Linked DNA regions of Danio rerio. The protein of the gene in region 1 interacts with the protein of each later gene in a pairwise test. Links are inferred from orthologs where the notes say so. Each region holds a gene or a part of one and is shown on either strand. Other genes may lie near its edges.

The links.
Region 2: the proteins of lzts2a (region 1) and fkbp6 interact in binary tests that used the Homo sapiens proteins (3 or more experiments, as listed by UniProt). The two-hybrid records come from large-scale screens. The link is inferred for Danio rerio from reciprocal best matches to the Homo sapiens genes LZTS2 and FKBP6.
Region 3: the proteins of lzts2a (region 1) and gpank1 interact in binary tests that used the Homo sapiens proteins (3 or more experiments, as listed by UniProt). The two-hybrid records come from large-scale screens. The link is inferred for Danio rerio from reciprocal best matches to the Homo sapiens genes LZTS2 and GPANK1.

Annotation. Positions count from the first base shown.
Region 1 is NC_133188.1:20,794,494-20,799,265, reverse strand, and holds the start of lzts2a (leucine zipper putative tumor suppressor 2a), read left to right. Parts: upstream 1-1,559; 5' UTR 1,560-1,721; intron 1,722-4,772. UniProt on the Homo sapiens protein: Negative regulator of katanin-mediated microtubule severing and release from the centrosome. Required for central spindle formation and the completion of cytokinesis.
Region 2 is NC_133180.1:61,312,483-61,317,407, forward strand, and holds the start of fkbp6 (inactive peptidyl-prolyl cis-trans isomerase FKBP6), read left to right. Parts: upstream 1-1,618; 5' UTR 1,619-1,697; coding exon 1,698-1,772; intron 1,773-1,912; exon of another isoform or gene 1,913-1,990; intron 1,991-2,554; coding exon 2,555-2,672; intron 2,673-4,453; coding exon 4,454-4,543; intron 4,544-4,647; coding exon 4,648-4,850; intron 4,851-4,925. UniProt on the Homo sapiens protein: Has an essential role in spermatogenesis. It is required to repress transposable elements and prevent their mobilization, which is essential for the germline integrity.
Region 3 is NC_133176.1:27,689,170-27,694,139, reverse strand, and holds the start of gpank1 (G patch domain and ankyrin repeat-containing protein 1), read left to right. Parts: upstream 1-1,663; 5' UTR 1,664-1,722; exon of another isoform or gene 1,723-1,757; intron 1,758-2,240; 5' UTR 2,241-2,305; coding exon 2,306-2,498; intron 2,499-4,331; coding exon 4,332-4,603; intron 4,604-4,970.

The DNA.
Region 1 (4,772 bases):
GTTCCAGAATGTTGCATAATTTCACACCACAAACAGACATACACAAACTTTTTAAAGTTGTCCTTGTTTTCAACCTCCTATTATGTTTTTCTCTCAGATTATATCCCCCTTGTCTTTCTTCAAAAAACTTTTGTATGCATTTAGGAAGTATTTTATTCCCAGCTTTAAACATTAATTGTGCTGTTTTAAATTCAACCAAATCATTGAACTTAAGTATTTTCAATTTAAAAAAATAAAGGATTTGTATGCTCCAAATACCCCACATTTTCTATCAGTCTAATTACTTTTTTCTGCATTGTACATAAGGATTGTAAGTAAATATATATTATATTGGGGAATATATATATATATATATATATATATATATATATATATATATATATATATATATATATATATTGGGGTATATGTATTCCCCCAAATTTCCACACAATAGCTCATATATGGCAACATAAGTGTGTTATATAATATATACATTGATATATTGTCCAGTATAAATCTTGCTTTTTACACTATTGCTACAGTTTTTACTATTTTTGATATTACATTATTTATTTGCGGTTTCCGCAACTAATTTTATGATCCAATATAAAACCAACAAACATAATTGCATAATCTCTATACTTAAATACTTTATTATCAATTTGGAAATCTATATTATGTCTACTTTTTAATTTCCCAGATAACAAAACCTTTTGTTTTACTTATATTTAATGACAATTTGTTTACGTCAAACCACAATTTCAATTTATTAATTTGTTTTAATCAACTCCATAAATTTTGGTAAATTATGCCCAGAACAAAATGATACTTGTATCATCTGCAAATAAAATAAGCTTAAACAACTCTGAAATCTTACACATATTATTAATGTAAATTATAAACAATATTGGACCTAAAACTGATCTTTGTGGTATGCCACACTTTGCATTTAAATATGATGATTTATGGTTGCCAATTTCCACAAACTGTTGCCTATTTTTTAAATAACTAATTATCCAATCCAAGGCTACTCCTCTAATACCATACCATACCATCATTTAAAGATGTGACATAAAGACAAATAAACCACAACCTGTCCTGATAAGGGAAATTTTCAGAAATGACTCTAAAGGACCTTAAACTTATTACACAACTGTCAAGAAGACAACAGAAGGCATATAGTCAATTGTACACTAGAGTTATCCAACAAAGTTTTGATTACACTGACAATTTAGAACCCTTCAAATCTTCTTATCAAATATGATACAGCCTGCCCAGTAAGTTTAAAGTAGCCACTGAATGTCAGACTTAAAAACTGCACAGCAGTCGTCCATTTTCCACAGACACTGTCGTGGTCAGAGATGAAGAACAGCAAAAGGTAGAAGAAAGACAAGGGGAAAAAAGGGAGCAAGTATGAGGAGGGATTAAATGTGTGTGAGGATGGGGGTGGTGGAGGAGGAAGGGGCCACAGACAAAGTGCGAATGGGAGGAGGGTAGCAGGAGAAGGGGGCGGTGCTGGCGGCAAACAGCAGAGGACGGGACACAGAGGAAGGGGGTTTCTGCCAGAGAAAAGAGAGCAAACTTTGGCATGAGGAGGAGGAGCACGGAGAATGAGCATGTAGGAGAGAAGCAAAGTGATACAGAGAGGAGAAGCAGCAGAAGTACAGTGAACTGACTGGGATTGTACCTCCAGGACAGGCTGGGGAGACGCGAGGAGGCAGCCATGCAGAGCACTATGGGTATGTCAGCAACACCACTGGATTTATTGCAGCCTGCGAATGCACGAGAGTTCAGATTACCACTGCAGCTCACGGGAGCTTTGAAGTGATGTGAAATGAATGATTAACTTTCTTAAAGCTGATAGGGTTTGGGGTGAGAAGACGCTCTTTGAAGTTTTAGCAGCACTGTTAGTGCTTTCTGCTGTGCGAGAATGTTAATGATACTGTGTTATTTTGGGGGCTGAGTAAGTTGGGCTTTTGTTTTGATTTATCAGAGATACAAAGATACAATAGTGAACTCTGTTGTGCTTCATTTAAGTTTGTCACCAGATGTCTCCTTTAAAATGTTTGAAGTAATGAAGACAAAATTAAGACAGTAAGACTGTTACAAACGTTGGTATCTTGTCAAATATTGTGCTCTTTTCTGGTTCTCCAGAGAGAGACATGTGAGATTCCCACAGGAAAACCATATAAGCAGCATGAGGCGTAAACAAAAGTCTCAGTTTACTCTCATTTTAACATCACTGTCCTCTAGAAGACATAAATGAGACGTCTTTTGTGTTTTTTGTCACCTATAGGTATTTATATCTGCTGTAAAGAGTGTTTGTTGAGCTTGTTAAGTTTTTGTGGCTGGTTTGTTTGTTTGAAAGCAGGGCCTTGCGAGTGGATTGATTTACAGGAGTCAACTAAGCGGTTTGGTTTTGTTTTGTGGAGACCATTTTGTGGAAATTCAATGTTTTGAAACTACACTTCAGGTTCATATATACTAAAACATTTTTTACAATTCTTTTAGGAGTAAAAAAAATAGAACTTTAAATTCAAAATAGCTTGGCGCTATTTTTCCTCTTTCCTAAAATTTGTTGAAATTATTCAAACAAATGTACAGAAATCATCTGATAATACTGATGTGAAAGTGTCCCCAGTCAATCACAGCAAAGTTTATATAGAGAAAAGGTGTCAGTGTTGCTCATTAATATTTTCAGTATCTACAGTAACTTTCAGAACATCAGTATCTACTAGAGCTGGGTGATATTGCAAAACATATTATCACAATATCATGTTTCATATCATCTGATATTGACAATTATCTTACAAAATACATTTAGGAATATTAGATTTTTTTTTAAACCATTTTATTTTAATTTGCCAACATTACTAAGGCAAATATGTTCAATAGTCAAAAACAAAAATATTTAAACAAAATTTCTGATCTCTTTATAATAAAATAAATAAGTGTTAAAGAGACTCCTAAACTTGATGAATAAAATGCTACAAAGTGTGTGCAATGATAAAGGTAGAACAACATCTGTAAGATGTCAATAATAATGATGCAGTAAAACTCAAATTATTTAAATACATATTATAACAATACAAATTGTTAAATACTTAAATGGCTACATTACCCCTACGCTAAAACATGTCTCAGATGGGGAGCTAGTGGCTAGGATGCACAAGAAAAGAAACCAAAAAGCCACTCTGGCGACATCTTTACATCTTTTATTGTTTATAATCTCCTCAATGCTGCTATATGGCACTCATTTTCGCATGTGTTGTTATTCTAACCTTAAGTAACAAGTGCACGCGCATGGTTTCTGGAATTGGTTCCAATTGGAATCTGGAATGGTTGCAGAAAAACCATTGCTGCAACAAGTTTATGGAGAAAAGTAAAAAGCACTGCAGTGTTTGGCTGCGCTGTGTTTGTCTGAGGTAATTAGTCTGCCGTTATTACTGAAATGTGTATATTCCATACAAAGTGTGAGGCAGATTGGTTAATTCTACTAGCATGAATGGCGGTGTGCTCTCAGCATTCAGAAAAGTTCAAATGTTTTTAACTACTGTAGATGCGGCTCAAAAATGTGCACGGTTCACATGTGTATGTGTGCACCACCTGCACAACATGGGCGCGTCGCTCAAGTCGCGCGACTTCATTGGAAATGACAAACTTTCACCCTAAACTTATTGGCACTGTTTCCAAGGCACACGTTCATCAGCCACTTTTAATAAAACTATAGTGCTTTATACCGGAACTAAATAATTCTAAATCGTTTTTTTATCGATATTGACAATGGTGGTTCCGTCAATAAATATCGATATCAATTTTATCGCCCAGCCCTAGTATCCACTATAAAACTGCTCTTTAGTGCTTGATTTTACTTGTGTTTGTCTGACAATGATGGATTAAACAGAGGAAATTAAATTCAGAGTAGTGTTAAAGCCACACCTACCTAGGTGGGTTGAAGGTCTTTACCAGCTGATGCAAACTTCTGTACATGGGAACGTCTCCCATATACAAAATTACTGAAAACAACTTTTCAGTAAAGAGTTCCAAAAGGAATCATTTATGTGTGTGTGAAATGCCTTTACTGTACTGTTAAAAACCATTTCCGCTAAAAAGAACCTTATGTTGACGATGTAAACAATGTTTAATGGAAGCATCAATGCCAATGAATTGTCTTTTTGATCTACTTTTTAGATCTTTGGACTAAAAATATTTCTTCTATGGGATCACTGTGAAACTCTCTATTAGGCGACTTTATGTTTATTGCAAATATTTAGTATATTTTTGCTTTTTTGTGACCATAAATTAAAAAGTAACATGACTTCTCAAAAACTGGCCCAGATTGGAACGTCCGGTGTCCAGAATACACACATACACACTCCAATCACTCTTCGCTCAGTGCTTACATAAAGCTTCTTCAAACTAGTCAAACACCACTAAGCTTCTTGCACAGCATGATACCTGATCTATTGACATTTTGTTTTCGAATGGGATGAAGTTTTGAATGAACCCCCCCATCCCCCCACCACCCAAGTATATTAAGATTCCCGTTTGTGTTTAAAGTGGATGTGACTCAGCTCATGGCACATTCTTATACAGTAAAAGCCTGAAATAGAGTGGCCTGTTACTGCGTGTCAGCAGCGTCCAGACTCTGCTCCGGATGAGATCACCTAGGGGGGTGGAAAGGTGCTTGCGTCAGTGAGTCGGAAAATAATAGATGAGTTAAATCACTCTCATATGTTAGAGGGCTCTGAAATACAGCGTTAGTAAATGTGGTCAGCGCACTGTCTTCG
Region 2 (4,925 bases), on another chromosome or scaffold:
GTTGGAGCTAAACTATGCAGGACACTGGCCCTACAGGACCGAGTTTGGGCAGCCCTGGTTTAAAGGAAGAAAGAAACTCAAAAAGGTTGAAAAGAGTAAATGATAGAATTTACAAATTTGGGTGAACTATTCCTTTAAACCAGAGGTGAGCAAACTGGGTCCTGGAGGGCCGGTGTCCTGCATAGTTTAGCTGCAACACTAATCAAACACACCTGAACATGCTAATCAGTGCCTTCAAGATCACTAAATCTATAAGCAGGTGTGTGTGATTAGAGTTGGAGCTAAACTGCCAAAACTGTAAGACTTGCTTTGTTAACCAAATAAGTATATCTGATTGGATTTGAATTGTAAACATTAAATAAAAGTAAAAAAAAAATATTATTTTTATTTTATATATTCAGTTTTTTGTTATGATACTCTCAAAATCATTCCGCATAAATGTGCTGATTTTTTTACACAATTCTCAGCAAAAATGTCTACAGATTCTGTCTGGCCATAACTATCGCTTTAAACACTGTGGTGCAAAATGCTTTATGCATGATGTCACCTCAAATATTTAATCAGAAAAATACTGCAGATATTCTGCATTTAAGTGATTTATATGAATTATTTATTGTGTTCAGTAGATCTCAAAAATGCAACTTACTCAGAATAAATTAGAATTTGAAATAATAGTTGTCTTGGAGCTACAGACAAGACCTTATCAAACCAACAGCAATAGAGTATATGCAGAAGTATGCTAAAGAACTTTTAATTTGCCTGTAACCTGGGTTAAGCGTTTCTGGGGAACTGTATGTCATTGCAAAATCGGTGCATATATTTTGCAATATATAAGGTCTGTTTTCTTTAAAAATCAGCGATATCCACTGGATGAGTAATATTCGATATAAAGTGGGTCTCAGATTGTACAAGAAGCACTGCATTAAATTACATTTTTTCCGCCATGTCTTCATAATATGAGCATTTATTTTACCCCAGTATATGCAATAAAGCTTCTGCGCTAGCCTGCTGATTCTAATGGACACGTACAAGTAAATGACTTTTTTTGTCTTGTTTTACGTTGGAGCAACTAAATGAATGTCAAAGTCTTTTTAACTGATTGTATTTTATTTACATTATAACATCAATGGTGTAAAAAGGAACCGTAAAAAATGGAAAAAAGTCACATTAACCGTTCACTGGAAGTTTATCAGTCTGGGAAAAAAACATTACCTCGGCATAATAACTTACTATAATGCAAATAGTTGTAATAAAATATGCTAACTATTTTTATACTTTATGCAGTTTTAGGTCTTTTTGGCTACTGCTCCGATCCAGCTACAAACCCACACTCACACATTTGGCCACTAGATCCAGGCCAGGCTCTGCCATATGGTAGGCCTAATGATGGATAATTTTTTATCATTAAATGAGCCATCCTAAGAATTTCTACATATAGAAATTATAATTACAATAATTATATTTACAGTATTTATTAACTATACACAAAATATTACAAATACATAATTTCATTTACACGGGGATCTTGTGGCCTGAAACCAAACCCTGAAACATGTGGGTCTGCGCGTCTGATGCTGCCTGCATGCTATTGGAATGTCGTCCACTAGTTGGCGCAAGTGTAGCCAAGTGACAGGTTAATGAGTCCATCATCTGCAGGTTTGGCGCTTCAGAAAGTGTTACCCTAAAACGCATGCACAATGTCAACAAACGGCAAGACCCCGAGAATACTACAGTTTGTGGCTCCAGATGAGCGTCGTCAGTTTGGAATTGAGGTAACAGTACATTAGCATGTGAGCTACTTAATAAAAAAGAAATGGATCAGTTTACAACAAAACGCGCTAGCAAACAACTCCATTTTCTTTAAATTATTTAAACATGCATGAACGTTCTGTTAAAAATCTATACAACGCACAAATGTCAAGTTCCAGAATGCACAAACGTGTAAATAGTGTTCCGTCATGTGTCGTTATGAAGGCCAGGGTTGGAGTTGGCAGAACATGATAATTCAGAACGCTGTCCTAAAATCATAGGCCTAGCCCTAAAACTTTCATTCATTCATTTATTCATTTCCTTCGTCTTAATTTTATATATATATATATATATATATATATATATATATATATATATATATATATATATATATATATATATATATATATATATATATATATTTGTTGTGAAGTTTGCGTGTTCTCCCCGTGTTTCCTCCGGGTGCTCCAGTTTCCCCCACAAGTCTTCAAACATGTGCTTAAAGTGAATTGGGTAAGATCGAGGTGTATGTGTGTAAATAAGTGTGAATGTTTGCCAGTAATGGGTTGCAGCTTGGAAGGGCATCCGCTGTGTAAAATATATGCTGGATAAGTTGGCAGTTCATTCCGCTGTAGTGACCCCTGATTAATAAAGGCACTAAGCTGAAAAGAAAATGAGTGAATGAAAGATTTTTTGCTGAGGGACATGGGTGCTTCTCTTTAAGATGCATTAAATTAGAAAATATTATTTAAAATGCATAAATTGTTGGTATTTGTAATCATTTCATTTTATTTTTTCCTCTTAGACCCCTTTTCAGCGTCTGGCTCCACAAATGCAAGACATATTAGGGGATGGAGGAGTCCTTAAAGAGGTCATCCATGAAGGAGAAGGGCCACCTGTATCAATGCATGCTTCAGTATCAAGTAAATTACGTTAAACATTGTTTCTCATTTATGACTTTCAAGTAGTATCAAGGCTCAACATTAAGAACTGCCTGATGGCCAGGGGCCAGCATGAGAGAAGCTAGGGACAATTGACAGAATTGTTACTGGCCCGATCAGTGCTGCCTCGCCATTAAAGTTTAATTTGCCTGCAACTATTTGTCAATTGCATGCAGATTTAAAATATAAAAATAATGTCTTAGAATCGATACAGTGCTTTTAAGACTTTAAATACCATTTTCTCTGTCATGTCTTAAACACAATATTACTTTTTGGTTCCTCATATCTGATTGGATGTTGTAAGCATGTTTTTTTTTTCCTTAACCTGGTAACAACCAGTATAGCAAAGAGACAGAAACATTGCTGCAACATCATATTATGAGGCTAAAAGAAAACGTCTGTATCTAACATACTGGAAGCAGACATTTACATGAGTACGACATGCCGTCAATTTGGCAACTCAGCCATCTTTTGTTAAATAATTTAGAACTGCAATAAAATACCTGCACATTTTCCATGGTGCTCTTTTTGTTTGCATAACACTTTAAATTTGACTCATTATACAGTTATTAACATTTTTTTTAAATATTTAAATTTTAGATTCTTAAGTTTTGACACATTATTTAAAATATGTAGCTAAGAAATAGGTAACTCATAGGTAAGTTAAGGTAACTCAAACTATTTGAGAAAACAGACAAACCATTTGAGTTAAAAAACTAATCTAAATGAGTACTGTGAACTTAATTAATTTCAGTAAATCAAGCAATTTAAGCACAGTAAAACCCGATAAATGAAGAGAACTCAAACTAACTGAGTACTAGTGAAACCATTTGAGTTAAAAAAAACGAATCTTTATGAGTACTTTGAACTTACTCCATTTAAGTTGAAGTAATGAGGTATTAGAATAGTTCAAAACGCCTTTCAAATGAGTAAAATGAACTTTAAATCAATTTTGAGTTATCTACACTACACTTTTTATTTATTTATTTATTTTATATTTTTTGTGGGGCCAGTGAAAATTTTGGCCAGTAGAAAGAAATCATTAGTGTTGAACCCTGAGTACCTACCTTTTTTCACACTACTGTGGTTTTATATTATGTAAAAGCGTAAATTAGTCTTATTTTCCATGCAAAGCATCGTTTGGCATAGGAAAAAAGTCAGTAGAAAAAAATTATTCCTAAAGTATTTAGCAGTTTGAAATATTGGGGCCTGTGAGACTAATAATGTTTTTGAAAAAATACTTTTTTTAAAAGACAATTTAAGTCCGTTAAGTCAAACTATTAAAATATATGCTGTAAGTGTATTAAATGCAAAGCTCTGTCATGAACTTTGAATGTGTCCCATTCAATCTGCTTGCATCCCTAATTATTTACATGGTGCAGGTGATAGGTTGCGGTCACCTCAGCAGCCAATGAGCTTAAACCTGTGGGTGTTTCTTAGCACTAGAGGTTGTGCTCTCATGACTGGGTTGATGGTTCATTTGATGGTTCATTCCTCTGTGGCGAGCCCTTATAAATCTGGGACTAAGCTAAAGTAGTGATGAGAACAGATTCTTTTTTCAAAAACTTTGTTATTTTCTTGAACTTTAAAATTGTACATCTTTTTGTAAACTCATATGTCACTTGTGATCGGTTTATTGTGCGCTTGCTGAAAAAAATGTATAATTTCTTTCTTACACTTTTTAATTGGTTGTGTCTGTACCTTTATATCATGTTCTCTTTGGTTTGTTAGCTACTCATTTCAAGACCTCATTTCATCCACAGTTAATTTCTCTGGTTTCATCGAGTACACTGACGCACCATTTGAGACAACCAACCACCTTAAATATCCACGAATGATGAAGCTTGGTAAAGGTAGGATGGGATTGTAACTCTCCCATTAGAATGGGTAGACATCAAGATTCTCCATTAAATTCTCTTTGCCCTGTAAGGAGTCATTCATACCTTTTTCCCCATAGATGTCACTTTGTATGGCCTAGAGCTTGGTCTTCTTACTATGAAGAAAGGCGAGTTCTCCCGTTTTCTCTTCAAGCCTAAATATGCCTATGGGGACTTGGGCTGTCCTCCTCACATCCCTCCATGTGCCACAGTCCTCTATGAGGTGCAAGTCCTTGATTTCCTGGACTCAGCACAAGTGGATGATTTCATGGATTTGACTTTGGTAAGATTTAATGCAGTAAGCTTGGTAATTTTGCTTTGTTTGTGGTGTCTGAGATAGTAATTTTTAATATTGGTT
Region 3 (4,970 bases), on another chromosome or scaffold:
ACACAGAAATATTCAGCCTCAGAAATGAGATTGTCTTGATGAAGAGTGACAACTGAGAAATCTTCTCTCCTCTATTATGGGCTTGCCTTAGTTGTTTTTTGAGTTTATGTGCATTTATACAGTATGCAACATAAATGGAAAAGAAGTGAGGAAATCAGCAGCTTCAGAGGGCCGTGAAATACAGTTTGGGTTGAGGGATTAATTTTGCTTTATCTTTTTCAGCTTAAGTTGTTTTTTGTTGTGTTCTCTTGTTAGTGATGGCAGTGGTCGCTCATTCTTTTTTTGGCAGTGGACCTAATAAGGTATTAAATGAGTCAGGCTATTCAAATCAAGTACTTAATCAAACTGTTGGGCCAAAATGTAATGTTTTATGAAGCGATTGGGGTCACTTCTATTGGTTTGCATTTTATTTGCATGTTTATCTTCAAATGTTTCTTATAATTGCTTAAAGTAACCATACCCCCCACATTCACAGATTCAGAAGCTTCCAGCAGAATACTGCATACTTTTTTTTTTTTTTTCAAAAGGATTATCAAGGCTCGTTGGTGATTTAGGCCAAATGCAAGTCAAACAGTTCTGATTATTGTTTCTGGCAGATTTTTACATCATTAAGTGTCTTTGTAGGTGTTAGTTAAAGGACAGAGGAGAGAGAGCATCATCACCTCTCGCTCAGGCTGATGTCTGTGACTGTTCCCATGTTCATTACTGTCTAAAGTTTTCTACCCTCTCTGTTTGATGGTGAAGTTTAGAACAATCGTTTATTTCAGTCCTGGTGTTTATTTGGAGAAAAGCAGTTTAATTATGTCAGTACAGCTGAGCCAACATTTTCTGAAAATATCTTTGCATATCACTTTTTAAGTGGTATATTTTTCAGAAAATTACCAACTCTCACAATCAATACTTGTGGTTTCAATAATGGCATAATGGGAGGAAATTACTAAATTTAACCAAAAGTACTTTTGTACAAGCAATCTTTTTTGTATCATTTTGTTCATGGGTCACTTTTTCAAATACATTATTTTTGTCAAACAGCAGTTCCAGAGTTCCAGCATTGAATACATTTTGACACTAATAATTTCAATAAAAATTCATAATGCTCGCATCAGTGTTTCTTTGTTTTAACTAATGCACTGATTACATCTTTGGTTTTTCAAATGTTTCTAGTAAAAATTGATATTAAGATTAATAAATGCGTGTTCACAGTTGATTTTAACAAATGTTGTTAAATTATTTTAGTTAACAAACCTTATTGTAGGGAACTTTAGCATGTTGGCCGGTTTAAACTGGTTGACCAGCCTGGTTTTAGGAGGGGTTTTGGCCATTTTCAGGCTGGTTTCCAGGCATTTCTAGCCTGGTCTTAGTGGGTCAGGCTGGAAAATGACCAGCTAAAACCAACTTGACCAGCCTGGTTTAAGCTGGGCATAGCTGGTTTTGGCTGGGCTCCCAAGACGTCTTGCTTGGCTTGTTTCTAAAACCAGGCTGGTTGACCAACTAAAACCAGCCAACCATCATAGGCTGGTCTAAGCTGGATTCTTCAGCAGGGTAATTATATAAAATATCAGTAAATCCTAATTTTAAGAAGACATTAGGTTTTCAATGCAAATTTAGAAATCAAGAGATTTCAAGAGAAGCAAAGTTTCACACTCCAGACCAGTTGGTGGCACTGCTACAAAGTAATAGTCAAAAATCGACACAAGAATGAGAGCGTTGTGTTTACTGGACGTAAGTGTGTGTTCATTACCTTGGGTTTACTGGACGTAAGTGTGTGTTCATTACCTTGGGTTTAATTTGGACGTGTTTATCTTTTCTTTGATATAATTGTTGTAACTATATAGATTTAAGGCTGTATTAATAATTGTATCAGCGTAAAGTGGGATGCATCATATCTCGATTACAGTAACACCATAATCCTAGACATTTACTATCCTAATTGACTAGAAATTCATTTAGCCGAAAACCAGAATTTCATAGTTACAACGTTAACTGTGTAAGAGCTGTTGACATTTTTTTTGACAAAATGATCAGACTCATTAATAGTTCGACTAAACATTTATTACGCAACTACAAACATAAGCTTTGATGGCAGTTATCATTACATTACAGAAACAAATGTTAGGATACACGTTCAAGACACAATTGACAGAATCTAAGTAACGTAAAAAGACTGCCCTGTAAATTAATGGATGGTTACTTTTTAACTGATATGAAAATGACCTCTTTTTGTCTCCTCTTGATTTTAGTATCTTGGGCATGAGCTGCAGTCGTAGGATTTTTCATTTGTCTATTTAATAGCAAAGTGTTAAAGATGAACAACCCAGTCTACTTCACCAGAGCCAAACAAGAGGAGACGCTCTGGATAGAAAAAAAGAAAGAAGACAAGCAAACAATTTCTGGGGTTGAGGCCAGAGACTTTTACCAAAGCCTCTTACAAGAGAGAGATAGAGAAAGGCCAAGAGATGGAGAAGCAGCAGCAAGTAGAAGAGCAAAAAGACGAACAGGTAGAATTGTCAAATTACTATCTGATATTTGATTATGCACTGATGTATTTTAATTTAGTGTCTTTTAAAATTTTCTTAGTCACAACAACTTAAATTAACTGGATTTTTTGTATGACACAGTATTTCATTTTGCCACAAGTGTGTGCATTCGCAACTGATGACGCTGTGACTGAGTGTGGAAACAGTTTTTGTCTTTATTACATTCTACAGGACTTCTGTGGAAATCATGTGAGAGAAAGTATTCAAAGGTCAAAAACGTGAAAAGCAGCAGCCGGTTAGAACACGAGGGGCCCTTCCTGGGGCACATAAACAGCATGCAAAATGCTTGTGGGCAATAGAAAACAGTTTTAATACACTGCCTTAGACCACTAAAAAAAGTTTGTTGTCCAAAACATTAAGGGCTTAAGAGTAAAAGCCGTTGAAGTAAAATGACTTGGCACAAACGAAGTTAACTTTTATTATTCCAGAGTCGACTGCTTCTGGTTCTACTGGTCATGATCATGTGGGTATAAAAAACATTGCTGTTTTTTCAAATTAAAATTTTTATGTTTTTTTTTTTTTCTTAAAAACATTTTAAGATTCTGTTCTAAAGCTGCATTGTGCAGTGTAATAAAACACACACCATATTAAAACATCTTTGGTGCTTGGTGAAACCAAACTGGAAACTAAGGGTGTGTGAAACCATTAGCATGGCCACACAGGACATGTTCTGTGTCACTAGTTAAAAATGCTTATTTCTCTGGACTTTAACATACTTCTAAATGTTAGGGATATTGTTAGTACATAAGTCTGGAAAATTAATACATAACATTGTTCTAGTGGTTTTTGTATATATTTAAGAAAAAATCTTACATGTTGTGTCTTTTACATCAATGTGTAAATTGGTTAAACAAAAATCTAATTTTCAACTGCTACAGCATATTGTTACATTTATTCAATTGATAATGGTCAACTCAAATAAAAGAATCAGAAAAACTAAAAAAAATACCCTGTCCTCTGAGAGTAGATCACTCAGAATTGCAGTGTTTATAAAAAATTGCCTGGTGTGTATAGAGAGGAACAGCGAAAAAACATACGCTTTTCAAATGTATCATGATTAATAAAAATTTTACATCAAAACAAATTTGACAGAACATGCAAAATCTATATAAAATTGTAGTTTGTGTAGTACATATACAATTAGCCCCCCTGTTTATTGTTTTCACAGTTTCTGTTAAACCGAAAGAAGATTTTTTCAACACGTCTAAACATAATAGTTTTTATAACTCATCTCTAATAACTGTTTTTTTATATTTGCCATAATGACAGTAAATAATATTTTACTAGACATTTTCAAGACAGCTTAAACTGACATTTAAAGACTTAGCTAGGTTAATTATCTTAGGTTACAGGTTAGGGTAAATAGGCAAGTTATTGTATAACGATGGTTTGTTCTGTAGACTATCAAAAAAATTTGCTTAAAGGGGCTAATAAGTTTGTCCTTAAAATGATTATTTATTTCTTTATTTTTATTAAAACTGCTTTTATTCTAGCTAAAATAAAACAAATAAGACATCCTCTGAAAAGAAAAAAAACATCATCAGACATACTGTGAAAATTTCCTTGCTCTGTTAAACATCATTTGGGAAATATTTAAAAAAGAAAAATAAATTTAAAGGGGGCTAATAATTCTGACTTCAACTGTAAGTGTAGATTAACAATTGGTGTTTTTCCTCTTTGATACATTTAATCTCTGTCATTTATTTTCCTTAAAGTTTAGTTTAAAAAAATGACGTTTAAAACACTCATTGTTATACAGATTTATCATGATCTTCCAATATCTTTTGACACAAGAACCCAATCGAAGAAGAAGAGAAGCAAGAAGGCTAGAAGCTTCCACTGTGCAGCCAGTTTGCACGGAGCGTGATGGACACAAACTCCTGCAGTGCGCCCAGGAAGGCAACATTCGGGCCCTGAAAGACCTCTTACGACGTGGCTGTGATGTCAACTTCCGGGATGATTTTTTCTGGACAGGTGTGATGTGTGCGAGTCAGGCAGGACAAACAGAAGCCGTTCGGCTGCTCCTGGAGCATGGGGCCGCTTGGGTTGGAGTCGTGGACAAACAGGTACATAACATTTCCTCCTGAAATCTTTATGCCTCTTTCAATTTGTAGTTGTGAATAAAAAAATATTGTACTTTTTCAGTTGACTTTGCATATTTGGTTACAAATTGCACCTATCTGAAATATAAGATCAAATAAAAGATGTGGTGTGAAAGATATGTAATAGATATCATTTTTGCCAATATTAAATAAATCTGAAAAATTATAAAAATAAAAAGGCAGATTAACAATCTTATTATAGTACATTGAATTGAAAAATGAAACTAAATTATTTGATTTCATTAAAATGTCACTGTTACAATGTATTATCTCTTTAAAATTGAAATGGTGATTTCGTATTCTATTTTCATGACAATCTAGAGGCAAATCT